Linked DNA regions of Saccharomyces cerevisiae S288C. The main gene of each other region encodes a partner of the protein of the gene in region 3 in a complex. Each region holds a gene or a part of one and is shown on either strand. Other genes may lie near its edges. A codon is read from its position in the direction of its gene.

Region 1 (3,650 bases), on a different chromosome or scaffold from region 3:
CCTAAAACTTCAATGGCTTCTTGATACTTCGCTTTTGCATTTGTAAAATCTCCTTTTCGACATTCCTGTTCGGCGTCCTCAATAATAGTATAAACCTAATTCATGTTAGTCACCATGAACAAAAAAAAAGTGGGGGCATAATTCAAAAACTTACTTCCGCTAAAGTACTCATTCCATCACCAAGATTAGTATAACTGTCGTTGAATTATCGAACTAATCCGTGCAGCGATACAGATGTTTTTTATTTCAAACAGAGCGTTCCATTACGCTGAGTTGAATCATCTGGTTTTTCTACCCTTTAGGAAATTCTAAAGTTGAAGAGGCGCTATCGATGTATGCAATGATGAAAAAGTGGTACAGAGCTTTATACATATTACAATACAGTGCAGAATTTATAAAGGGAGATAATACATTTGAAGCGGTTGTTGGTATAGATATATTGAGAGTACTATAATAAAACTATTGGGCGGTGGTAAAATTCCTGAACAAGGAAGGCATCATTATACTAATTTATGATCACCGTCGGCATCCAGGTCCTCTTCCAACTCGCCAACCATATTTTCATCATCAACAAGTACATCGTCCAAGTACGAATCTTGTTCTGCAGCTACATAATCCTCCATCAGGCTTTGTACTACTTCTCTTGACTCGGCGAATTCATCTTGAACGTTCTGCATTGATTGGAACAAGTCGCCTACATTATAATTATTTAAAAATGCGCCCTTGGCAAATACTTTGTCAAAAGTATTGCACGCATTCTCAAAGACGTTCACCACGGTAGACATATTGCTTAACATCATGCCGCTAACTTCGTTTTCATTTGGTTGTAAAGGCAAGTATGGCGATCTTCTTCCAATGTTAACGTGCATCGCAGAAGAGGACCATGAGGGGAATTTGATGCGTTGTTGTAATTTGGTCATAGCACGCGATATCTGACGAGGTTCTACATTACCAATGATTGTATTATAAACGTTAAAATATGTTGGATTGTTCATCGCGGTAGAGACAAGAGAATTGGAAGGGTCTAATAAATCTAACATGACGTCATAACTGGAATGGCCTTTATGCGCTATATCATCGTGAATATAATCTGATGTAAATGGAGTGAAACTAGGGCTTAGGAAATGAAGTTCAGGAGAAGGAATCAAGGTAGAGTAAATACTGGACATGGATGAATACATGTAACTCGGAAACCGTATACTGTTCGTTACTGAAGATATTATGGTCGATATCAATTGATTCGTGTGTTGTAAATCGATGTTCGGATTTCTAAACACTTTACCGGAAATATTCAGCAACGAAGCGTTATCAAACACCACCGTTGCATCGCTATCTTCTATCAGTCTTCTCAAAGCCAGAATAGTGTTATAAGATTGAACAACAACCTCAGAAGATCTTGCAGGGAACACAGAATATGTCGTGAGTATTTTTTTAGGATATCGATCACACAGCGCTTCTAAGAGGTTGGATCCGAGCCCTGAACCGGTCCCTCCGGCTACTGAGTGCAGCAACTGGAAACCTTCGAAATTGTCGGTAGAATCAATCTCCTTGTCGATCTTGTTAAGAATATCATCCTGGTTACGAGTTCCTATATCATACCCATTGGCCCAAGAATTACCAGCGCTAGCGCCATCAGAAGCTACCCAGGTATTTCTTGGGTCGAAAAACCCACGAAATGTGTTCTCCACGTCGGCGATGACACTAGGCTCGGAATCCATCATAATAGCCCTTGGCGTAAACTTATTCCTACTGTTTTCGCGGAAGAAAGGCTTTGTGTCATCATCTCTTTCCGTACTGGAATCAGGAAGCTGAGATAGCCCATCGGTGCCTATAGCGTGTTCTTTCGCCAATTGAGACCAGAGAAACTTACCAACGTGGTTCCCGCATTGACCTGCTTGCAAAGTAATAATTTCTCCACCCATAGATAGTTATATGTTGAATTCTTATACATGTGACTAACCGATATTACGCATTTGTTCATTTCGCAGCTACTGTTACGATTATTATTTATTACATTTAATGAAATTTCCCAAAAGATAATATTAACGCGTTCTGTTACCCGGTGATATTTTCTGAATGTCAGGGTAACAAAGAGAGAACGTTATAATGGGAGAATAGTAAATATTTGCTTTAGGAAATTAGTAATAATTGCAATGCGGAAAATAGGTGCATTTTGTGTTTCTTGAAAGGTTTGAACTAAAGAATGTATACATATATATTAGAGCGTGCCTTCATGCAGGGAATTAGAGGATCCGTTACGGAAGAGAGAACTTCGTAAGACATTATTGCTGTGACTATTTTGACCGTTTCCAAGAACTCAACCAGTCATTTATCTTTGGAGTAACAAAGCAGTCCCATTTGAGAGACCCCTCATCATGATGATTCAGTCTGTCTTGCCTGTTATACGAAACGACTACTCTTGACAAATCTTTTTGGGAAAAGGTTGGTGCCTTTTTCTTTGCCTTTATACAAAACTGCACTTGTTCTGTGAATTTATTTTGGTACGGCGTTACGGTGATTTGTTCAACATGCGCCGTAAATTGGCCCTTTTCGATAATATCGGGTGAATTTTCCCAATCTATGAGGCCACCTGCCCAGTTTATTGTACCGGGTCCGTTGGTTTCCGAGCCGCCTGGCCAAACAGCGATTTCTAGTCTCATCGGCGTTTGTGGGTACCTATATTCTTTACTAATGGGGTCCCAGGTATCCTTCTTCAGGACTGTGCGAGCTATTTTACCATCAACATACCATATTATCCTATCCGGGTCCCAATCAATCTCATAAGTGTGGTAAGTGGCCCAAGTGTCAGCGCCTACGGGAAATCTTTGCATTCTTGTGTAATCCAAATGCCCTTGAGAATAGTAGTTTGATTGGGCCGTCATTAAATCACCACCCAGCCACTCAAAATCAATCTCGTCCCCAATTGCGGATGTTAAGTCAAATGCAGTCACCACACCCCTCGACCTCGCCGTTTTCATTCGCACGCTTGCCTTGCCGTATAGAAACGACCTGGTCGATGTGATCAAACTTCCGGTAGTTTTTTTTGGCATAGCCAGAACAATATTCCCGCTACTCGCTTCAATTGATGTGTAGCCGCTATGTGTGAAATCGAAATCTTCCAACATTTTCTCTGCCTCTTTACTGTCTGGAGTGACCAAGAATTTGGCGTAGTGTATGATTCTCTTGGAATTTAGCTCCCCTTCTACTACACCCACCTTGGTATTTGCCTTATTCGGTCCATTTCCCTCTCTTATTGGTGGCTTAGGTTGATAGTTCACAATAAATTTAGGAACCTTTGGTGTGCTAACAAATTCAAGTTTTTGACTGGCGACTAATGCAGGTATAGGAGCACAGCTTTCCTCGTCGAAAGATGACCTCACGTTGCAGCCACCGACACATATCGGTCCAGCGCCACATTCATTATACGGCGAGCAGCACGGCCATTCTGCGGGACAAGGGTTATTTGGAGAACAAGAAATGGAGTTTTTGGGTTTGTATAATTCTCCCAGTGCAAATCCGATGTAGCCAACAACCGGCACCAGCTGTAATATTGATATTCTCATATTTTTATTTCGTGCAAAAGCCCTTGATGATACTCTAAACTAAACGACTGTTCTTGTATTTCGTTATTAATCGATAATTATTAGCTG
Region 2 (10,701 bases), on a different chromosome or scaffold from region 3:
TCTATCATCCCATACAACTGGTTCGAAATGACCGACCCTACGTGGAATGCTATTCAGTAGTTCCTGTAGTTCTGCATAGTATTCCAGGTCCTTTCCCTTTGGGAAGTTGTGCGTTCCGCAGGCATTAGAGTCGAAAGTTGTAGTTATCGGTAAGCTTTTACAGAATACTTCGACCATAATAGCCGCCTGTAGTTCCGACAACGGGAACGGGATGACCAACTGCGGGGTCAAGATAAAGGACAGCGTAGGATCTTTTACATAGATCATGTGCTCCCACAAATTGTGCAGATTGACAGACGAGTGCTTGTCGCCAGTAACACCCTCACCTAGCACTTCCAGTCTAACGGAGGGCTCTATAAATGGAAAGCTGTAATAATAGCCTGTGGCGAAAATAATGTAGTCTATATTCTGAAGTACTCTTCCATCAGATAAAGTAACTGAACGATTTTTCCAATCGGCACTGTCTATTGTTTGGACAGTCTCGATTAACTTGGCCTTCAGTTGATTGCTCGCAGGCTCTTTTATACTATTATATACTTTCTTTGCAACGGTAGTTAGTTGGTTGGCAATATCTTGGCCGGAACTGCCGTTTCCCACCACAATAACGACTTTTTCACGGGCAAACTCGCAGTTTTTGAAATCCTTAGAATGAAAGGCGCCCTTATTGTCGAACCATAGATCGAGACCTGCGATATTAGTTGGTAGTTTAGGGACACTGTAGTGACCAGACGCAACAATAACGAAGTCAAAATCCGATTTAGTAGTCCTTAGTTCGTCTTTAGATGTTATCTCCCATTGAGAGTTCTTCTTCTTTAAGTAGGTAACTTCGGTGCTGAAATGGATGCTGATAGCATCTTTGTTGGCAATGAACGTTTTGTAATAGGCTTTCAAGTATTCCCAAATGTTTCTTCGAGACGGATATAAAGGGACGTTTTCCTCGAAGGGAAAGCCGCTAAACTGCATTAACTTCTTTGATATATTGGTTTCCAAATGGTCATACATGACCCTCCCATCACTTTTTTGTTCTGGATAATGCCAGACACCGCCAATATCGTAATCCTTTACAAATATTTCTATTTCAAAATTTGGAAGACTTTGCGAGAAAACTCTTGCAGCTGCCAACCCTCCTGGCCCCCCACCTATGATTGCCAATCTTTTTTTGTCATTCACTGTCATGCCTAGTTACTTCTTGTTATTTCTCGCTTCCTGCTTGAATTTTCTGTATTATTGTATTTTCGACTTGTATAAAAACAGTGGCCCATTTAAATACAGTCCCAAATAACGACTGCGTTTTTGCAGTGGCATTTATCCTTGATATGAGGCTACAGGATTATCTTGCATAATGGCTTTTCTCGGCAAAAAGATGTCTGGCGCTTCCTATGTAAAGGTAATATCATGTGATTAAGAGTGAAAAGAGGAATTTAAAAGGTAGAAAAGGGTTCATGGAATCTTTCATAAAGCAGAACATTAATACTTGCCGCGTTGAAATGAGGTGCGATTTCGTGTTGTGGACGGGACATTAAATTCATCACTTATATAATTAAATATAACGTTATAGTAGATCGTCTCAAAACGGTATAACAACCCGCGCCCACCCTTAAATAGTATTACTTTTGTTCAAGATTAGCTCGAATGGTCGCTGGCAAACTGTTGAAGAACTAGATCGTTTCATGATTAACATCTTGGCGACGCAGAAGTTAATGATATAGAAATAGTGGACTATTTTGATTACTGAGGCTGTAGCCAATAAACGATAACATAAAGGGGGGGATATATAAACTTGTGTCAAAGACTAGTAACGTACGAGTGCTAAATATTATACATGTAATGTTAACGTAGTTTATCATTATACTCAGTGGGAACAAATAAAGGGAAGGGTATGAATGAGGAAGAAATACGAAAAATCCCGGATAAAAACAAAATAGATACAAATAGTATCAAATTTGTAATATTTGTCACCATCTTAATGGCAGGCGAGGGAGCTGTCATCTATCTCAGGACTATACGAAGTACACCAGCTGTAATTACCCCATATTGCCCCACACACGACAGCTAACATTAACCAACCATTATAAGTCATGAATACAAGCATGAGCATGAATGAGAATCCCACTTGCAAACCATATAGAATACTATTGGACACTTTGTCGGCTTGGTTGATCTTGGTCAGAGATCTATTTGGTAACAATACTCTCTGGGATAATTGTCTCTTATGGACACAGTACTTTAAGTACTCATAGAGGTAGGCTAGACCAAAAATTGCTAAACAACTTAAAATCAGTCCAGGCAGGGTCTTGATATGCCACCATTCAAAGACGACACACGTATTCTTGTATGACCACGAAAATAGCATATTCATCGAACAGGTATCATCTCCATCTCCCATATGCATATCACTGTGGTCGTGGCCCGCATTTCCTTCCATCTTGTGATTCATGCTATCCATCTTTTTTGAGTATCCAATTAACGAAGACGTTACCAGCTGATTGAAGGTTCTCAAAGTGACTGTACTCCATGTTTTCTTATCATCCATGTAGTTATTTTTCAAACTGCAAATTCAAGAAAAAGCCACGCGTGTGCACCTTTTTTTTCCCCTTCCAGTGCATTATGCAATAGACAGCACGAGTCTTTGAAAAAGTAACTTATAAAACTGTATCAATTTTTAAACCTAAATAGATTCATAAACTATTCGTTAATATAAAGTGTTCTAAACTATGATGAAAAAATAAGCAGAAAAGACTAATAATTCTTAGTTAAAAGCACTTTACAACTTGTCACCGTGGTGGAAGTTTTCACCGGCGTAGACAGCCTTGTCACCCAATTCTTCTTCGATTCTCAACAATTGGTTCAACTTAGCCAATCTTTCGGATCTAGCTGGAGCACCAGTCTTGATTTGACCAGTTCTCAAACCGACAACCAAGTCAGCAATGAAAGTGTCTTCAGTTTCACCAGATCTGTGGGAAACCATAACACCCCAGTTGGCAGCGAAAGAGTCTTGAGCAGCCTTGATGGATTCAGACAAGGTACCGATTTGGTTAACCTTCAACAACAAAGCGTCAGCAGCCTTCTTTTCGATGGCGGTAGCAATTCTAGCTGGGTTGGTGACAGTCAAGTCATCAGCAACAATTTGGATACCAGCGGTCTTGAAGAAGTGAGACCAAGCTTCCCAGTCATCTTCAGCAAATGGATCTTCGATGGAGACAATTGGGTATCTCTTCATCAAGGAGTGGTACATGTCAGCTAATTCGACACCAGTCAACCACTTGGATTTGTCAGATTCTGGGTTCTTGAAGTCCAAGTCGTACTTACCGTCCTTGAAGAATTCAGAGGAAGCACAGTCCAAACCGATCTTGACCTTACCGTCGTGACCAGCAGCCTTGATAGCGTCAACAATCAAGTCCAAAGCTTCTTCAGCGGTTTGAATGTTTGGAGCAACACCACCTTCGTCACCGACGTTACCGGCAGAAGCACCGTATCTCTTCTTGGTCAAAGACTTCAAGTTGTGGTAAACTTCGGAACCAATTCTCATGGCTTCAGCGAAGGTCTTAGCACCAGTTGGAGCAATCATGAATTCTTGCAAAGCCAAAGCACCACCAGCGTGGGAACCACCGTTCAAAACGTTCAAGAATGGAACTGGCAAAACGTATGGAGAGGTCTTGGACTTAGACAAGTCAGCCAAATGTTGGTACAATGGGACGTTCTTTTCAGCAGCAGCGGCTCTAGCAGCGGCCATGGAGACACCCAAGATAGCGTTAGCACCCAACTTGGACTTGTTGGCGGTACCATCCAAAGACAACAAGAAGTCATCGACGGCCTTTTGGTCCTTAACATCTAGGTTGGCCTTGACGAAAGCAGCAGCAATGACGTTGTTGACGTTGTTGACAGCGTTCATAACACCCTTACCCATCCACTTGGATTTGTCTTCATCTCTCATTTCCAAAGCTTCGTGGACACCGGTGGAGGCACCAGATGGAACAATGGATCTGAAAACACCCTTTTCGGTGGTTAATTCGACTTCGACGGTTGGGTTACCACGGGAGTCGTAGACGGATCTAGCGTAAACTTTAGAGACAGCCATTATTATTGTATGTTATAGTATTAGTTGCTTGGTGTTATGAAAGAAACTAAGAAAAGAAAAATAAAATAAAAATAAAAGATTGAGACAAGGGAAGAAAAGATACAAAATAAGAATTAATTACAATTGCGTTTGCTATAAATACGTTTTTAACAATCAACTCTGGTAGGAAGATAATGCTTTTTTTTTTTATATATGCTTGGTGCCACTTGTCACATACAATTCTACAACCTTCGACAAAAATCCAAATGATAGTAAGATCAAAGCCAGAAAGCAATGGAGAAAAAAAATTAATGAACCACGATGAACCAAATGATCAATACAACCAAAGAAACTACCCTAGTGAGGTGTATGCTGACTTGGTATCACACTTCATGAATTTTGCATATGGCAAAGTCCACGAAAGTGGGCTTCAGAAAAAAGGCGTGCGGTGTGTAGATGTATCAATTAGTGGATGCCAGTTTTGGAACGGGATTCCACTTTCCGCAAGTTGGTGCACGTCGTTAGTGACATAACGCCGCGTTCATCTTTGGGAAGAAGCAGATGCTGAGCGAGGAGGTACTATAGAGTAAAGAACCCTTTCTATACCCGCAGCGTCGACACTTGAACTATCATAAAAGTCGAATTTTTCAGTACTTAACTCTTGAGTAAAGTTTATGAGACACTTCCGAAAAATGCTGGACGCGTTGCTAATGTATTCAATCAGCTTCTGAATTAATTCCAGGGCGGCATCTTCTTGGTAACCAACATCTTCCTGACCGCCATTGTTTGTACGATAGCCTTCGTTTAGTGTTTTCATCATCCCGCTTTTGTGTTTCTCATATAGTACGGGGTCCAGTTGACATAATTTTGCTCTCATAGATTTGATGAACTTGCAAAACTTATATACAATGTCAAATATTTGTAACTGTAGTGGAATCAAGTCAGACAAGCAACGATTTGTCATTATATTTGTTAATCCACCTTCTAGCTCATTTTGGATGGCAACGGCAAGAGTAGGATTTCTGTAGCACTTTTCTAATGAGTATACCTCTTTATCAATTACGTTTTGGTTGAAATATTCCATGATGGTTTTAATGAAGTGGTTCATCTTAGCATGCAGCACTCTCGTTGCCCTTACTATCCTCCTCTTCACAGTGTGCGAATAGCCTCTGTATTTCCAGCTGGGTGTTTTGTTTAAGTCCATCCAAGTCTCATCCAAAAGCCTTGAGTGGTATTGTAAAACTAGTTGGTAGCGCAGGATTATTTGGTATTTTATCATGCATGTCCTACTAATAATAATATTCAATGGATAAGGTATGTTGATGTCAAATTTTAAATGATAAATTGCGCTTTTTGGAGTATATAGTTCTAGATTGGATCCATGGTAGGCTCCCGTTCGTTCTTTGCTTAATTCATCAAAAAGAATGGCATTCATATTCTTGAAATTATTCGCGTGCATCAATGGGTCGCTGTCGTCATTTGCTGAGTTATTCTCAGGTACTTCTGGATAAATTTGGAGGTAGTGCGATAAGACTTGTGGAAGTGTTTCTGTATCGAACTGTATCATCAGGAGTTGCCTCATCAGGTTGTTTGGATTTTCGGATTGTCTCTCTAACTCAAAATTTTGTAGCAGCTTGTCATAGTTTGCATTATTATCATTCCTGTAGTGTTTGGTCAACTCACCCATATTTTTTGTTAGAAACTTTAAAACATTATGACCAGATTGATACCCAAGAAAAATTTGTTGCAAATGTTTTAATACATTGATCAAATCGTAACCTTGAAAAAATAGCTTTAAAAATATTTCATTGGCTCTGCTGTAACATTTATCCACGTAAAGTTCAAGATTAGAACCCTCCATTAAGTCAGCGAAATCATTGATTTCTTGAATGGTTATATCACTGCTATTAGAAGGTATGGTGGGTATTTGTAAGCTAGCTCGAACAACTTTGAGTAAAATACCGGTCCTTAACATCTTGAATAGTAGATTCTTATCCTCTTCTGAGTCACAATCCCGCAACAAAACATCTTTTCTTATGAAGTATTGCGTATCCCACGCTCTGTCTCTTGTGTCAAATATGTTATCCGTCTTACCTTCCAAATCATCATAAGTCATGAATTCTTGGTAAGGGTCGTTTAAAATACCCTGTGTTAGCCATTCATACAGCATTGTGCAATAGTCTTGGCTTATATTATTCAATAGCTTCTTCAAAAACATTACGCTTGACCTATCACCCAAATTTTCCAGTATTTTTTGCTGAAAAATTTTCAATATGGCACCACCTTTGGGTACCGGATATACTGTTGTGTCAAATGCTACCATTAATCGTAAGTGCAAGCTGCTTTCATTCTTCATACTGTCCATAAAATTATTGAAATCTTCTTGTGAAGATTGGTTCGTCCTTCTTTCTTCTATTTCTCTAAAAATTTCTTCATAAATATTGTACAGCAACTCCATTTGTTTGTTTACTTCTGTTTCATTAATGATTTGTTCTAGTTCTCTGATAGAAAAGTTTGGCACTTTGTTAAAGTCCCTTTCAAGCCTTTCAACTAACGTTTTTAAGTAGACGTCTTCTAAGAATCTTCTGATTTCATAAGCAAATCTTTGCAAAACCATCCCAAAGCTTGTGTCAGACCATTTTTCATACGCCCTTGTTAATATCATGTATTGCTTACCATACCTAACAATTCTTCTACTGAATGTTTTGAATGATGGATCCATTTTCTTGGCAATCTTAAATTCTATCGGTGTCTCTGGGTCACTAGGTTCATAATCATTAAAATATCTGATGTATGTTCCTTCAAGTCCAATCAATACATTTAATAGGTCTTTTACAACTAATGCCTCTTGTACACGCCTTTGATCAGGGGCTGATATTTTTTCTAGCGAAAAGGACTTTAACTTAGGATTTGTACTCCATAATGGTTGATGGTTGACTAGCTTTCCAAGTAACGGAATATTGTTGGTATATCTCAGTAGCTCTGCCCTGTCATCTACCTCTTTGATTTCCATTTTTTCACGCAAGATGTGTACAAAGCAATCTTAGATCAGTTTGATAATAAATATTATGGATACACAAACAACTTCTTGGCACGCAACAATTAGTCTATAATGAAGAAAGAACCAGGTGGTATCGCTTTCGATGACTTTTCAACTTAGTTCCTTTTTGTTTACATTTTCATTACTTATTTTGGCGTTTTTTGTTGTTCCGCGACTACCAGGGGAAGGGTAATAGCAACGCTTTAGATATGAATGCCAAATTAATGTGAATTATTAGGAGGGGAAACTTGGATACGTGAAGTGAACGCATAGATCTTCAAATCGTATAGTTTTTATCATATCACTTTAGACATTGATGGAACTACTCCTCTTACCAATTTCTTAGCCGTCAGCAACGAACTTAAAACGTATTGATTGAACGCCCGTATCATACATAATAAAGAAATACAACTTATTCTCATAAAAAGAAAGTATCAAAAAGGTAGCTTTACCGACACTTTCACTGATCCTTTTTGAAAAATACGGTGAACATTGAGGACTTTATTACATTTTATGTTTATGTTTTGTGAGTAAAGTCAAGAATTTGTCTTCTTGTTAAAACTACAAAAAATAATGTATGCAAAATAGTATAGCAAGATCATTTTAATAATTCAATGTTATAAACGTTAGAGTCAAAAATTTAGTAGCTTAATTACGGAAAGTGGCACCACAATATGTACCAATGCTATTATATGCAAAATATTAAGCAATCTCATCAGATTCATCATCTTCCCATTCAAAAACATCGTTGCCTAGTCGTTCGACCTCCTGCTTTATGACTGACAAACCGCTAATTTCTTCAAGGTAAAGTGGATGCTCCAAGGCCTTTTTAACAAATTCCCAACCTAAGTCTGTAAATGCTTCGATAACTTTAGGGCTACATGCTGGACAATGCTCATAGGCTGGAGTTTCTAATTTTAAGATGGAAAAATTATGCAAAAACCCACGTATTTGATGAGGTATATCCCCTAATACTGTTGTTTCTGAACCAGAGTATTTGGTCTGTAGTAAGGAAGTCATCAATTCAACTGCTAAAGAAGAGGCCATCATAGCAACGCCGGGTCTAGTTACTGTGCACATTTGATCCAAAGTCCTGTCAGTTAAACTGTCAGTTGGTGCTACCACATCATGGCAAAAATAACAGCCCAGTTGTTTTGAAGACTGTTCATCTCTATTACCATGCCTCATAACTAAGTAGCTATCAAACCCCAGAGCAGCATTAATAACGGTTTTGTTTTCGATGTTGCTCAATAACGACGGAAGCCATCTGCTTTCTCGAGAATCCACCAATAAAAAAATGATATCATGCTCTTTTATTAATGCTCTTAATCTATCAAAATCCTTATGCTGAGCCTCCTCGTTTACTAATTTATGACCGATCATAGGAATACTTAATTTCACACCAGTAGCGTCCATTAAAGGAAATATTCTTTTCAAAGACGCAGCCGCAAGTTCTGCCTTTGGCTTTCCACAGTCCTCAAAATTATATAACGCTTGCCTCACTGGATTTGAATATGAAACTGTACCGTTATCCACAAATGTTATTTTTCTAACCCCCCATGCTATCAATGCGCGTGAAACATAACAACCTAGTGTACCAGCACCTAGTAGTAGTACTTTTGTGTTTTTGATGATATCTAGATTTAAGTCAGGAAGAATTCTCCATTTCATTAGCTTCAAATTTAAATCCACGGATTGGTCAGCAATTTTTAAAGGATCTAACAATGAACTTAAATCAACAACACGTGGTGCTAGCTTACCTTGCACATTCCTTTCCCATCCAGAAACTTTCATATCTGGGTTACTTGAGGATGATTGTGGGTCAATAGAAGCAAATGTAGCATTTAATGCAAAGCTACCTTCGTTCTGTCTAATAATTAATAGTTTGAAATCTATCAAGTCAGGAACATCGTATTGCAACACGCTGAGAAAATTTTTGGTTAGAGCAGAAGGGACGTTTTCCATCGTACTAGTGTCCCTTATCGCCAAAACTTTAGTTTTTCGAATAATACACTTGTCATAATTTACTATTTCATCGTCTGCATCCAGTATACACACCCATTTTGAGTAATTGACATCAAACCATTTTTGACACTTTGAGAACAGCCCTTTTAAACTCGGCTCTGGCCGCACATGTAAAACTGTTGAAGAGGGTCTTTGAAAACAGGGAACACCTAACCAGTAATAAAACCTGTACTTTTTTAGGTCAGCAAAACTAATAATCACAAAAGAAACACACTTATTGATATCCTTTATTCCATCTTCCCAGCATTCCAATGCTCTTTGATGTAAAAATAGTTGCTTATCAAGATTCTTAAACTCGTCTAATACATTAAAATTGAAAATACTGCCCTGTAAAGGCACTTCATTAGTACGCTTATTATTGTGTTTTTCAAAGCTTCTATTTGTTAAGAATAATGGAACTTGATCAGCAGATTTAGGAATGTTGTGTAAATCTAGATTCACAGTAAGTGGTTGGCATGTTGAATCTAATTTCAGAACATCGAGTTTCAATCTCGATAATTCTTGGAAAAAAGATGTATCCAGAAATGATTTAAAAGCTGGTGCATAACTTAAGACCCTTTCTGACGACATTTTATTCTTGATTATCTTATATTTGTTGAAATATAATGAACTTTAGTTATCTAAGTAGCATCGTAAAATAATGAGTTCCCTTAATTTTTTTGTTTTGCCGTGCCGGAAAGGGTGTCCAAAGGAATCTCATGGATTAAAAAAGCGGAAGTTTAAAAATCTTGCGTAAGAGCTCTACAAATGAAAAATCTTGCTTGCCTATCTAGTTTTCAACATGTGGTGGCTTGTTCTTCCATAAAGTACATTTTACATCCATATATATGTATATAGATAAACTGAAATGCTAGTGTTTGTTAAGAGTATATACTACTCTCCATTCTTTGGTGTTTTTTTACTGCTGAGATTCAACGGGTGTGTTCTCGACTCCATCTTCTAATGTCATTTCATCTAACTCGTCCAATAATTCATCAATGTTGATTTGTGGAGCGTCTTCATCCTCGTCTTCATCCATTTCATGCTCTTCAGGAGGTACATTTGCTTCGCGGTTTTTGTATAGGTTAACACTTTGTCTTAATTCAGCATCCTCTTCTAATTCTTGTAAGAATAATTCGTAGTCCTTTTCTGCACGTTCCATTTCTTGCTTTTGAGCTCTTGAATTGTAATCTAAGGATGCATCGATATCTTTGTGTTCCTTAGCCATTCTCTTTAACTTCCAGTGTCTGCTCTTTTTGCTCTTTCTTTGATACAATTTCTTCACAAGAACTACATCAGGCACATAATCGATATTTAACCCATCAAAAAGATCTGAGTTGTAATTCGAGTTTGCAATGAAATAACCCATAACACTATCACCTGCATGGCAAATACCACCGAGATGAGACCTGACGTAGTAGACTTGGTCATTAACACCCAAGTCAGACGTTCTAGCAACAGTAATGTCAGCTAAGACACGATTTCCCCTGCTTATACCTGTAGAATCCACGTCCAGAACAATGAACTCCACCAACTGGGTCACATCAGCCAGGGCGTTGAATGGAGCCCTCCAGTACACAGATGGTGACAGATCCGCGGT
Region 3 (10,702 bases):
TCGCGTCACCACCTTCGTCCTCTCCTTCAACGTCCTGATCTGCAGAATCATCCTCACTACCTGAAGAGCCAGAATCAGAATCAGAATCAGAACCGGAATCTGATTCGGATTCAGAAGAGCCGGATCCTAGGCCTGTTGATCTTTCTGCGTCTGCTACCGGTTCATCGGTCTTCCTCTCGTTCCCACCATCACCTAAAAGACCTAAATCAACATCATCCTTGGGCAATTCCACGTTCAAGTCCTGGTCGGGATTCTCCAAAGCCTTAGAAAACAAGTCATCGCTCATGATTAGCACTGTTTCGACGTGCTATATTGTGCTTCTTCCACTTTCATACCGCTTCATCCTACCTATCATCCTACCATCTTTTTCCTTTACCTTTAAGCTCATCGCCTGAAAAATTTCATGGCCGCAAAAAGAAACGCGCAGACCGTTACCCGAGTGGTAGTGCCTGACTCATTTATGTGCCAACTAAGCATTGCTCGAGAACAAACTAGTGAAAATGTAAACCAGGGAATTTATCATTTGGTCAAAGACCCTGACGAACTAAAACTGTCAAAGGCTGATAACGCAGTAAGAACAGACGGAGGCCTTATACCGCATCTTTGCAGACCACAGTTTCCTATATCTAGTTACAATAGCGCTTGCCGACGATAACCGAGATAACGTATCTTTGCCGCGGGCTATCTCGGCAATCTGCAAAAAAAAAAAACCCCCGCCGCTATTGAAGAAAAGTCTTCGGGAGAACCTGGATAAATACTTGGCATTCCTTAGATCTTGATGCTTTGTCCACTCATATCGGAGCCAAAACTAGACTGTTTCTTCTATATTCTACCAAAGCTGCTAGACTTAGACAAATTTTCTTTTGTTAGTTAAATGTGCGAGTCAGAATAGTATTTTGCATTTGTCACACCACATATTTAAAAGTTTTATCTTTTTCTTTTGTTTTCTCCACTTTTCTTTACTTTTTCTTTAGGTATAATTACGGGGCTTCTGAAAATAAATCTGAAAAATGTCAACGCACTCAAACGACTACTTTTCTGCTTCTTCCGGAATGGTCTCTGAGACATCGTCCGAGGTTTCTTCGATAAACTCTTCACAGCCTGTATCATTCTCTAAGGCTTCTATTGCTGCTCCGGTTCCATGCTCTGATCTACACAGCACCAAGTCGAACGATGCATCGAGAAAATTGTCTATTAGTAGGACGTTAACTAATCGGCTCAACGACATTAAAAAGGCTGTCGATGACGACAACTTGCAGACGGAAGAAAATTCCGCAGACGTTAATAAAATATTAGAATCTAGATTTGACGTGGCCGATGCCATTAGGCTACAGCACAATGAGTCAGTCCAGTCAAAGTTAAACATCCCAGTCACACACACCACGACTGCAGGCGCCTCGTTGTCGGCACCATCTTCCTCTGCTTTCTCTGCTTCTTCTATTCAAAATGATACTACAGAACATAAAGCTTCCATGGACTCCAAACTCATGAGGAATAGACTATATCCGGCTTCCACGAAACACTCCGGTAAGGATCTTGAGGCCCAAGGAATAACCGAATTCGAGCCTGATGAACCGACTGTAAAAAAAGTATTCACCAACAAGTCTACCGGGCAGCTGGAACTGCCCCCCGACGGTGGTTATGGCTGGGTCGTGACATTCTGTGTGTTCTTGACCATGTTTTCCACGTGGGGCTGCAACGCATCCTTCGGTGTCGACCTTGCCTACTACTTAAACCATGATACTTACCCTGGTGCTTCGAAGTACGATTATGCCTTAATTGCTGGCCTAACTGTCTTTCTCGGTCAACTCTTATCCCCCCTTGTGATGGCACTGATGAGAATAATTGGTCTGCGGACCACCATGCTTTTTGGTGATGCTGTAATGCTTGCCGCATATCTCTTGGCCTCCTTTACTACCAAGTTATGGCAATTGTATGTCACCCAAGGTTTTATGGTCGGTTGTTCAATATCACTGATTTTCGTTCCAGCAACAACCGTCTTACCAGGATGGTTCTTGAAAAAAAGAGCTGTCGCAATGGGTGTCTCATTATTGGGTACCGGTGCTGGTGGTGTCGTTTACGGTTTGGCTACAAACAAAATGCTTTCTGACTTTGGAAATACCCGGTGGTGCCTTCGTATCATAGGCATATCGTGTAGCATAAGTGTTCTAGTTGCTATTGCGCTCTTAAAAGAAAGAAACCCTACACCTGCCATAGGATTGAAATCGCCTCGGGCCATGTTTGAACAGCTCAAAGCAATGTTTTCATTAAAGGTTATAACTAAGCCATTTGTGGTACTTATTGCATTATGGTTCATGTTCGCATTATTTGCCTACAATATGATGGTTTTTACTTTATCTTCATACGCAATCTCGAAAGGATTATCATCGCACGACGCTTCCACATTGACTGCCATTTTGAACGGCTCGCAATCCATCGGAAGACCTCTGATGGGTTTAGCGGGAGATAAGTTTGGTAGGGCAAACGTAACGATCGTATTAACCACTTTGTTAACAATATATATGTTTGCGTTCTGGATCCCCGCTCATACGTTTGTTCAACTCATCTTTTTTTCAATTCTAGTTGGCTCATGCGTTGGTGTCGCCAACGTCATGAATACCGTTCTGATTGCCGATATGGTTAAACCAGAAGAGTTTTTGCCCGCTTGGGCCTTCGTCAACTACTGTGGTGCGCCTTTCTTATTGGTTTGTGAGGTGATTGCCCAGGCATTGACGGTGGAGAAAGATAAGAGCAATCCTTACTTACATGCACAAATTTTTTGCGGTTGCTGCTTTATTGCCGCACTAATTTTAATTTCTATCCTTCGTGAATATTCTATCAGGATGAAATTAACGGAAAGACAAGCTATGACAAACGAGAAGTTAAAAGAATGGAAGGCAAGCGAATACGATACCGATTCTGCCGATGAAGATTGGGGTAAATTAAAAGAAAGAAAGACTAAATATGACCTTCTTTTAGGTCCGGGCATTAAAAAATACTTCCTAAGAATGGTATATCCAATGAAGGTCTAGTTCTTTTCGACGACCTGATTCATGTTATATACGCGATAGTTACGTCGCCTACTCATCATATCATTAGTACATAATATTCAATATCTCCGCTTCACCTAATTAAATTTCTTTATTATCAAAAAGACGTAAAGTTAACGCTGAAAAAGCATTCTTTACAGAAAACGACCTTTTTTTAACCTAATATATTTAGCACTGTAAAGATATTCCATGTATCCATATGTAATACACTTTGTGTTGCGGATCCAGGAAAAACAAAACGAAAAAAGAGTCTCTTTACTTGCAAATAAATCTGTAAATCATTTGCTACCATTACAACTTATACATTAAACCTGCGTGGAGGAAATTTATTATAAATGAAAAACGGGACGGGATCATTTCTTAACGGAGCGATTTGCTCAATAAGAAAAGCTCTTCATCGCCATCGTTCTTTAAATCTGCCCTAAAAATATACAGTCTGTCTTTAAAATTTTTATACTGGCTAACAATTTCCTTTAAATTCGTATTAAATTTTCCCAATAATCCGTTAGATGCTTCGTGATCATTGAGATTCATTTTAATGAAGATTTCGTATCCAATGTCGTTCAAATTACAATAAACTTTGACGAACTCGTAAACCGAATTTAAAAGTAAAACCAATGAAGTTGGGTATGGTTGCCCAGAATAATCACCAACGCTTATTTCACTTGTGTTAGTTGCAAAAAGCTTATGAGAAAGAATATTCGTCAAGAACGTGTTATGTACACTTTCTAATTCATCAATATTCAGCGTCTTTTCGATTGCGTGTTTTTGGGGTTTACTGCTTGAAGACTTTGTTAGTACTTCAGCTTTTGGGGTTAAAATCCCATTTAATTCTATGGTGCCATTATTTAATCTAATTAAGTCGAATTGGTTTTGGCTTTTATTCTCTGTGCGTTGCAGTTTCCGGGTCATTTCTTTAAAATTTTCCTCTATAATGCAGTTCAAATAATAAGATTCCATCTTCGAGTTGAATTGCTGGAATTGAGTTCTAAGTATACTGATTCTAGAAAGTTTATTGATAATATCACGGATGAGCGGGTTGTAACCTCTGATTTTCTTGAATGATCTGATTATATCATTACTCTTCAACATTTCCTTTTGATAGAAATAATTGTTCTTTTTAAATCTCCATAAAAAATTGAAAATTCGTAGATACTCTTTCCTGCCAAAAGGACGATTTACGTTTAATACTAAACTCAAAGGGGGGTAGAGGATGTAATCTAAAGTAAAAACATCCCAACCCACGGATCCATGTCCAAGATCGAGTACCCTCGCATCCAATCCATTAATGACAGAACTATTACGGGGACTATTCATTAAATGTCTTAAGGAAGAAAGCTGCACGGCTTCCTGTAAAACCCTTGTTAACTTATAATTTGGCAATGAATCCGATGGTGTCGCGAGAATATCATTGGCCTTTTCTATAAGAGCATCCATAAAATCAGATTTACCCATGAGAAGAATATTCTTTAACGCAAATACCACGTCTCTGTAATGAAACTTCTGATTTAGAATTTGATTAGTATGATTAACAATTTCAGAATATTGATCATTTATAATTTCAAAAAAGTTCGTTGATATTCCCCGATAAGAATTGCTCTGGTACAGGACATGATACTTTTTAGAAAATTCGTTTGTCCATTGAACCTCTTTACAGTACTTTTCTAGGAAGATATACGATTTGCCGATCATGAATATTTTATATGCCAACTCTTTCGGTATGAAGGCCGGAACTCTTTCTTGGTTGAACTCTATAGGAATGTGGTAAATAAAATCATCGTCTGTACCATTTGTATCAGTGTTTTCAGCAATGAAGAATTCTCCATAAGTAGCTCGGAGTAGACCTTTAGTCAACCAATTCATTAAATACTCATAATAAAGAGAAATCATTGAATTAAACAAATTCGTTGCTATTTTTCTTATAGTAAGATCTCCGTGGGATTTGAAAATATTTAATTCAATCAAGAATGTATCTCCGCTCAATTCTTCAAGGTGTTCTGTAAACCTACAGTATATTCGAAGCCTTATTATATTTTCATATATTTCACGATATAACGATTTCAATGACACTACTGTCCCTGAAGAGACCAGATTGTTCACAAATGCTGTGTAGTTTTGTAATTCTTCTGAAATTTCTATAATCAATGCTTTTTTCATTGGAGATATATTCAACATCCTAAACTTCTCCACTTTATAACCCAAACTTTGATATAATAAACCCGCTTCAAATATTAAATGTAAAAGTCCACTCTCAAAATTGGGTATCTTAGACGGAATTTGTATTTGCTCATGATCAAACGGAAATAGTGCCGATGTCGTAGCTAATAATGTATATGATACGTATTTTAGGATATCTTCCTCGGGTATAGTGTTCACATAATAAGGATTTGACAACTGTCTCAAAGTAACAGAACTGTAGGTTGAAGAGGGAACGTAACGATTAGGCGAAGATACCATGGACCTTCTTTCAGAAAATCGGTCCATGTTTTCAAATGAAGCTTCTGTATATATACTTGGAGCCCGCACTGGGCTAAGTAAATGTTCATGGTTAGCAAGGTTCTCCATATTGAGCCCAGATGATTTTTGGACAATTTTTGCTCTGTAATTTGATGGAAGCAAAGATTGAAAGACAGAGAGGTACTTTACCATATCATCGGTGTTCTGGATTCCAAATAAAGCATCGAGAAATTTCTCAATTTTATGCCACATAATTGTTGTTTCAGGCGAATCTAGTGATTGTAATTTGTAAAAATCAATTAAAGGGCCTAATTGAGTTGCCGATTTGGTGGATGATCGCAGTAAATTGACTACATCAGATACAAATGTCTGCAAATGACTCTGCGACAATAATTGAGGAGCCAATGCCTCTATTATACCAAAAAGAGTGGGCTCTAGTTCCATATTGATTTTTCAGCTACAACTGAAATAGACTGTAATATATATTATGGTTATGCTTAGTATTCTGGCTCTTCTATTTCTTATATGCAGATGAAGCCATCAAATGAGTATATTTGTTTGTTTTGTTTAGTTTTGTTTACAAACGCGACGCATCAAAAATCGTTACCCGTATATATTATGATAATAGAAATCCAACAACGGTTGTCCTAGTATCCCACTTGTGATATGAAGATCCAATCATCACCATTGCGCGATCAAATAAACACTATTTAAGGGGTTTTCATGCTCCTCCATTGAAAACTATATAAACATAGGGAGGGATAGGAGATTGTTAATGACAATAACATCGCGCCCCGAGCCTCGGTATCCGTAAGTAGAGATTTAAATATTCAAATACTCGGATTCCTTGTTTAACAGATCTTGGCTGGAACTATTACGGTGTCCATATCCAAGGTCCTCCATAGATATTTCATAGTGTTGAAAATTGTAAAATTGAAGCAAGGCCCGGAGTGCAATTTCTTGACCACAAGCATCGCTCAACTCTCCTGATATATCCTTCCCTGTTACCCAATTATCAGTTAACTCCAGCTTTTCATAAAGGTAAACCCCCGATATCAATTCCATATGCTCGGATTTCCACCTCTTGTTTTTGAATGGTGTGAGTTCTCTTGTTATTTTCAATATTGGATGATACATGTCAAGGTTGAAGAGCCGATAATAGCGTTTAAATAGAATGCCGATGGAGAGGGGCAGCTCCTTTAACCTTTGTGTTTTATTCCCTGTGACTTTTCTCAAGATTCTTAACAGATATGCAAACGAAGGCATAATCTCCGTGTCGACCTCTCCTGAGTCATCTACTGAATAGGATTCACGATAAGACTCGTTAGAGAGAGAACACTCCTTCCAAAATGAATTCGGGGTTTGTACATATTTATTGAAAACCCTCTCTGGATAAACCTCAGAATATTTGCTTAAAATAGATGCGCATGTGTTGATGTATCGCGAATCGTGAATAACTACCGCCAAGTGTTCAAATTTCAAAATATGGCTTAACTTAAACCACTTCAATAACGCATGTAATATGCCCGCTGCTGACTTTAGGGACAATTCCTTAGCTCTCACGATCTCCAATTGGGGTGTCAGCATATTTAGAAGATTTTTATCGGAGACTTCACTTTTCCTATGAAAGTTATTTGTCAAGCTTGATTCCATTGTTTGCAGTAAGACAAAAACAAGAGAGTTAAAGCTCGAAAGGCAGCTCTTATAATATTTGTCAATTCGCTGCATAATGCAAATCGCACTTTTTTCCTCTTTTGAAGAGTTTGCATCATGATTAAGCGCGGCATAATCATATGGCTCATTTTCTAATTGCTGTTTCCAACCACGTTCAGTTATCATGAATAAGTCCCTTTCGTACCAAAGTTGTTTTGTACTCAGCTTAATTTCTAAACTCTCGCTTAATATTCTCGCTGCCTCTTCGGTACTGAATGGAATAACTATATCGTTATCAGGTTTTCTCTCTATATTTAAATCTATCCTATCTTCCAGAGTGTCATCTTCAGATCCTTCATTATCAGATGGATACAAACACGGATATGCCATGTTTGTTTGGAAAGATTTACGAGGTCTAGGACCTTCACCTAAATGCATTAATTGTGGAGAGCTTGGCGGTGAAGGAGCAGGTGTAGCAATATGTTTTTCAGGAACAATGAGCGCCATATTTAGAGGATTCTTTGATTTTGGACGAGGAATTTCCAGAAACTGGGAAAGAGATTCTGATTTGTCAACATCTTTAGGTAAGCCAGAACTGGGCATATTGTAATCAGGAAAACGGGAAGTAATGTCCTCCCTGAATGCTTGATAATGTAATGGGGAGATAGAAAGCTTTTCTGGATGCTTTGATGGATATGTTAAGCCATGGAGATTATAAATAGATGATTTGGTCTGTTTGTAGACAGAACTGTCACCAAATTGTAATACAATAAGCTTGAAGAGCAAAGAAATCATATTTCTTATGCGCATAGCTAATCTGCTATTCCACCTCCAATTTTCAATATACTTTGTTAAAAATTCCAACAAATCTGTTTTCTCAAAAGCGTCGATAACAACATTTACTGCTTCCGGATTTTCTCCTCTACCTTCTATACAAATACTGCATATGAAGTATAGGATTGTTGACGAATGAAATAGCAAAATTGTTTGTTTCTTTAAATTTCTGTTGTCATCCCTACAACTTATTGCAATCTTCTTGAAGGCATGAACAATTTCTTGAATATGAGGAACAAGCATTAAATTGTTGCGTCGTATAATCTTTGTATGCTCACTTTTGCTATTCGTAAACGCAAAGCATCCCATAGAAATATATGATAATGCGAGTAAATTAGATGCTAAAGAATTGGGGATGTCTTCAATTAAACATTCAACTACGCTCGCAGCATAGTTTTCATCATCAAAGAATAATTGTGGTTGCGTAATTTTCTGTTTAAACAGAGTCTGTGTCTGTCCAAAATGCATATAATCAGAGCTGCAAAACCATTCCGACAGTTCATCTTCCAAAGAATAAAACATCTTCAATTCCCAGTCCACTGCTCTTTGTAAAGCATAAGGTGCACTTGATCTTTCCTCAAGTGAAGCTGCGCACTGGTCAAGTGATTTCTGAAATTCTTTATCTACCGGCATATTATAATCAACTTCGCCCTTTTCATTGATAGGAACATGCTTGCCATCAGAAACCTTATTCAAATCAAAGCCATCCAGTTCATCTACATTAGCAAATGATTCATCCTCATTCTCCTCTTCAGCTTCTTCAGCATCGTCTTGAAATTCAACGGCGTTATCAGTATTATTATCTTTCTCATTATTTCTATCCTTATTAACGCCATCATCACTGAACTTAAAATTATCATTTTCATCACTACTATCTTGCTGTATATCTATGGTACGAATATCTCCCTCAAGACCTGATCTTGCCTTGAAGGTTAAGGCACTGATATTTCCATCTGATTTATTTCTTTTATCGGCATGAAAACTGTTTCTTCCCATGTTCAGTTTACCGCGCAACATGTTGTCCAAATCTTTTAGCAGTTCTTCGTTGCTCAATGTTCCGACCTGTGGTTCTTTATGTGAAGTGACTTCATCTTTGTACTTTAGATTGCCTTTGAAACTAGAGTTTCTCTTAAGATCTTCTAAAGACACAGACCTTATAATGGGGCCTTTGGAATGAGATCTTCCACTAGCATTCATTTTAGCGAGGCTTATAAATGAAAATTTGTCACTTAACCTTCTTCTTCGGCTATAAATACTAATAAAATTTCTCTACAATGCCTTTCAACCTACTCCTTGGTTCTCATATATTTCTTCCTGTTTCTAGAATGGCGTTTTGATTCATATAATTGACCGCTCCAAAAAATACCTGCCAGTAAATTAAAGTACCATACAAGAATATTGAAGAAAAGGAAAAGAATACATAATATAGAAAAAAGCCTACCAAAACAAACCAATTCACAATAAATATAACACTTTTAACTAAGTTTAACGAATGAATGGATTTGACGAAATGCATAAACCTATATAATTTCCCATTCCAATTTCAGTGCCTGAAATAATTTCAAGCCGTGAGTGCTGAGCTCCCCAAAACCGTCCAGCTCTTGCCAGCTTATGGTTGTCCCAAGCATTTCGTCTCTCTTTAACCTCTCTACTTGAAAGTAATCTGGCGAAGAATCGTCTTTAATTATGTGCATCAAAGTCTCAAGGTATATATTCAGCCAACAGCTGGCGCATGAAGTCCAAGATATTATGCTACTGGCGGCTTTGGACTTGCTGGTCCCCAGGGTAAATTCTATACGACAATCATTTTCCAGTGTTAAGTAGTCCCTACCAAAAATGAAGGTCATATTACCACCGCATTCATGCGCCATGATATCTGAATATACTACTTTTCGGGTTAGGAGGGCATTTCTATCATCGTTGTAGTGTTGAATCTTAGTAGTTACAATAGCAGACTCGGAAGTGATTAAGCTTGATGGGCGGAGGAACGTCATTTTAGCAAGCCTGAATTTAAATTTGAATTTTACCGCCTCATTAGAAATTCCTTCTTGGGCTGCTTTTTCATGGGTAATAAAAAACTCATGGTACCTTAAGTATCTTAATTGAGAGGGTATGGTGACGCCATTCGTCATACCATACTTGAATCTAGCCTGCATGAATATCAATCTTGCTTCTCCAAGAGGACACTGCAAGTATTTCATGAGGTATGCTACTGTTATCATACCAGATCGGCCTTTCCCCATTCGACAATGTAAAACAGCCACTCTATTCTTCGAAACGGACAGGTAATTTTCTATACCATCTACAATCTCTTCCAGCAGTTCAAATGGCGGTGGAAAATGATCTAGCCAACCGATCCTTTCACAAATTACATTATTGGTTTCTTCTTCGACCAAGGTCCTTGTTTCGAGATCAATGGGTGATATTGGTATCTTTCCATCATTAATCAGCGTCGAACGTAATTCTTGAATTTCAAAATCTTTGCTCTCAAACTTGGCAGCGATACCAATAAGATCATTATCTTTATAATCGCTGTCTTCTTTCTCACCTCTAAAATTAAAAATTCTAAAATTTCCCTTGCCATGGTACACTGTTAGAAACAATATTAAGTCATCCAAGCTATTCCTATAAAGCAGTTTTGGATACGTGTTTACCGGGTATGAGCAGACTATTAGATTAACTAAAATATATGATATATCTAATCTCAA

What was found.
Region 1: the proteins of SPC98 (region 3) and TUB4 are in contact, whole or in part, in a cryo-EM structure (PDB 7M2W), measured with the Saccharomyces cerevisiae proteins. Residues at the interface, in NP_014273.1 of Saccharomyces cerevisiae: Lys478 (codon at 4,520), Met483 (codon at 4,505), Gly484 (codon at 4,502), Lys485 (codon at 4,499), Ser486 (codon at 4,496), Asp487 (codon at 4,493), Met489 (codon at 4,487), Asp490 (codon at 4,484), Ile493 (codon at 4,475), Glu494 (codon at 4,472), Leu522 (codon at 4,388), Ser524 (codon at 4,382), Arg526 (codon at 4,376), His527 (codon at 4,373), Leu528 (codon at 4,370), Ser531 (codon at 4,361), Pro532 (codon at 4,358), Arg533 (codon at 4,355), Asn534 (codon at 4,352), Lys594 (codon at 4,172), Asn597 (codon at 4,163), Tyr598 (codon at 4,160), Gln601 (codon at 4,151), Met604 (codon at 4,142), Leu605 (codon at 4,139), Lys606 (codon at 4,136), Asn608 (codon at 4,130), Asp609 (codon at 4,127), Ile611 (codon at 4,121), Arg612 (codon at 4,118); in NP_013313.1 of Saccharomyces cerevisiae: Met1 (codon at 1,922), Gly2 (codon at 1,919), Thr44 (codon at 1,793), Glu45 (codon at 1,790), Arg46 (codon at 1,787), Asp47 (codon at 1,784), Asp48 (codon at 1,781), Asp49 (codon at 1,778), Thr50 (codon at 1,775), Lys51 (codon at 1,772), Asp131 (codon at 1,532), Cys159 (codon at 1,448), Pro163 (codon at 1,436), Lys164 (codon at 1,433), Lys165 (codon at 1,430), Ile166 (codon at 1,427), Glu196 (codon at 1,337), Asp197 (codon at 1,334), Ser198 (codon at 1,331), Asp199 (codon at 1,328), Pro245 (codon at 1,190), Ser246 (codon at 1,187), Tyr247 (codon at 1,184), Met248 (codon at 1,181), Tyr249 (codon at 1,178), Ser250 (codon at 1,175), Ser251 (codon at 1,172), Ser253 (codon at 1,166), Ser254 (codon at 1,163), Tyr256 (codon at 1,157).
Region 2: the proteins of SPC98 (region 3) and SPC97 are in contact, whole or in part, in a cryo-EM structure (PDB 7M2W), measured with the Saccharomyces cerevisiae proteins. Residues at the interface, in NP_014273.1 of Saccharomyces cerevisiae: Ser163 (codon at 5,465), Ser164 (codon at 5,462), Val165 (codon at 5,459), Thr166 (codon at 5,456), Leu167 (codon at 5,453), Arg168 (codon at 5,450), Leu170 (codon at 5,444), Ser171 (codon at 5,441), Tyr174 (codon at 5,432), Tyr175 (codon at 5,429), Asn177 (codon at 5,423), Thr178 (codon at 5,420), Asp203 (codon at 5,345), Glu205 (codon at 5,339), Gln206 (codon at 5,336), Ile207 (codon at 5,333), Gln208 (codon at 5,330), Ile209 (codon at 5,327), Pro210 (codon at 5,324), Ser211 (codon at 5,321), Lys212 (codon at 5,318), Ile213 (codon at 5,315), Pro214 (codon at 5,312), Asn215 (codon at 5,309), Phe216 (codon at 5,306), Ser218 (codon at 5,300), Gly219 (codon at 5,297), Leu220 (codon at 5,294), His222 (codon at 5,288), Leu223 (codon at 5,285); in NP_012042.1 of Saccharomyces cerevisiae: Met1 (codon at 7,070), Glu2 (codon at 7,067), Ile3 (codon at 7,064), Lys4 (codon at 7,061), Glu5 (codon at 7,058), Asp8 (codon at 7,049), Arg9 (codon at 7,046), Ala10 (codon at 7,043), Glu11 (codon at 7,040), Leu12 (codon at 7,037), Thr16 (codon at 7,025), Ile19 (codon at 7,016), Pro20 (codon at 7,013), Leu21 (codon at 7,010), Leu22 (codon at 7,007), Gly23 (codon at 7,004), Lys24 (codon at 7,001), Leu25 (codon at 6,998), Val26 (codon at 6,995), Asn27 (codon at 6,992), His28 (codon at 6,989), Gln29 (codon at 6,986), Pro30 (codon at 6,983), Leu31 (codon at 6,980), Trp32 (codon at 6,977), Asn35 (codon at 6,968), Pro36 (codon at 6,965), Lys37 (codon at 6,962), Leu38 (codon at 6,959), Phe41 (codon at 6,950).

Annotation. Positions count from the first base shown.
Region 1 is NC_001144.5:564,360-568,009, forward strand, and holds TUB4 (gamma-tubulin), read right to left. Parts: upstream 1,923-3,650; coding exon 501-1,922; downstream 1-500. Other genes in the region: ATG38 (Atg38p), read right to left, coding at 1-95, 155-172; CRR1 (putative glycosylase), read right to left, coding at 2,295-3,563. UniProt on the Saccharomyces cerevisiae protein: Tubulin is the major constituent of microtubules. The gamma chain is found at microtubule organizing centers (MTOC) such as the spindle poles or the centrosome, suggesting that it is involved in the minus-end nucleation of microtubule assembly.
Region 2 is NC_001140.6:444,704-455,404, reverse strand, and holds SPC97 (gamma-tubulin-complex subunit SPC97), read right to left. Parts: upstream 7,071-10,701; coding exon 4,599-7,070; downstream 1-4,598. Other genes in the region: FMO1 (N,N-dimethylaniline monooxygenase), read right to left, coding at 1-1,176; YHR175W-A (uncharacterized protein), read right to left, coding at 1,698-1,847; CTR2 (low-affinity Cu transporter), read right to left, coding at 1,964-2,533; phosphopyruvate hydratase ENO2, read right to left, coding at 2,765-4,078; YHR173C (uncharacterized protein), read left to right, coding at 4,252-4,590; ATG7 (Atg7p), read right to left, coding at 7,800-9,692; ribosome-binding protein NMD3, read right to left, coding at 10,021-10,701. UniProt on the Saccharomyces cerevisiae protein: Involved in microtubule organization by the microtubule organizing center, the spindle pole body (SPB). Probably part of the microtubule attachment site at the SPB.
Region 3 is NC_001146.8:382,476-393,177, reverse strand, and holds SPC98 (Spc98p), read right to left. Parts: upstream 5,952-10,702; coding exon 3,411-5,951; downstream 1-3,410. Other genes in the region: NAF1 (RNA-binding snoRNP assembly protein), read right to left, coding at 1-286; ESBP6 (Esbp6p), read left to right, coding at 1,011-3,032; FAR11 (Far11p), read right to left, coding at 6,330-9,191; TEP1 (putative phosphatidylinositol-3,4,5-trisphosphate 3-phosphatase), read right to left, coding at 9,515-10,702. UniProt on the Saccharomyces cerevisiae protein: Involved in microtubule organization by the microtubule organizing center, the spindle pole body (SPB). Probably part of the microtubule attachment site at the SPB.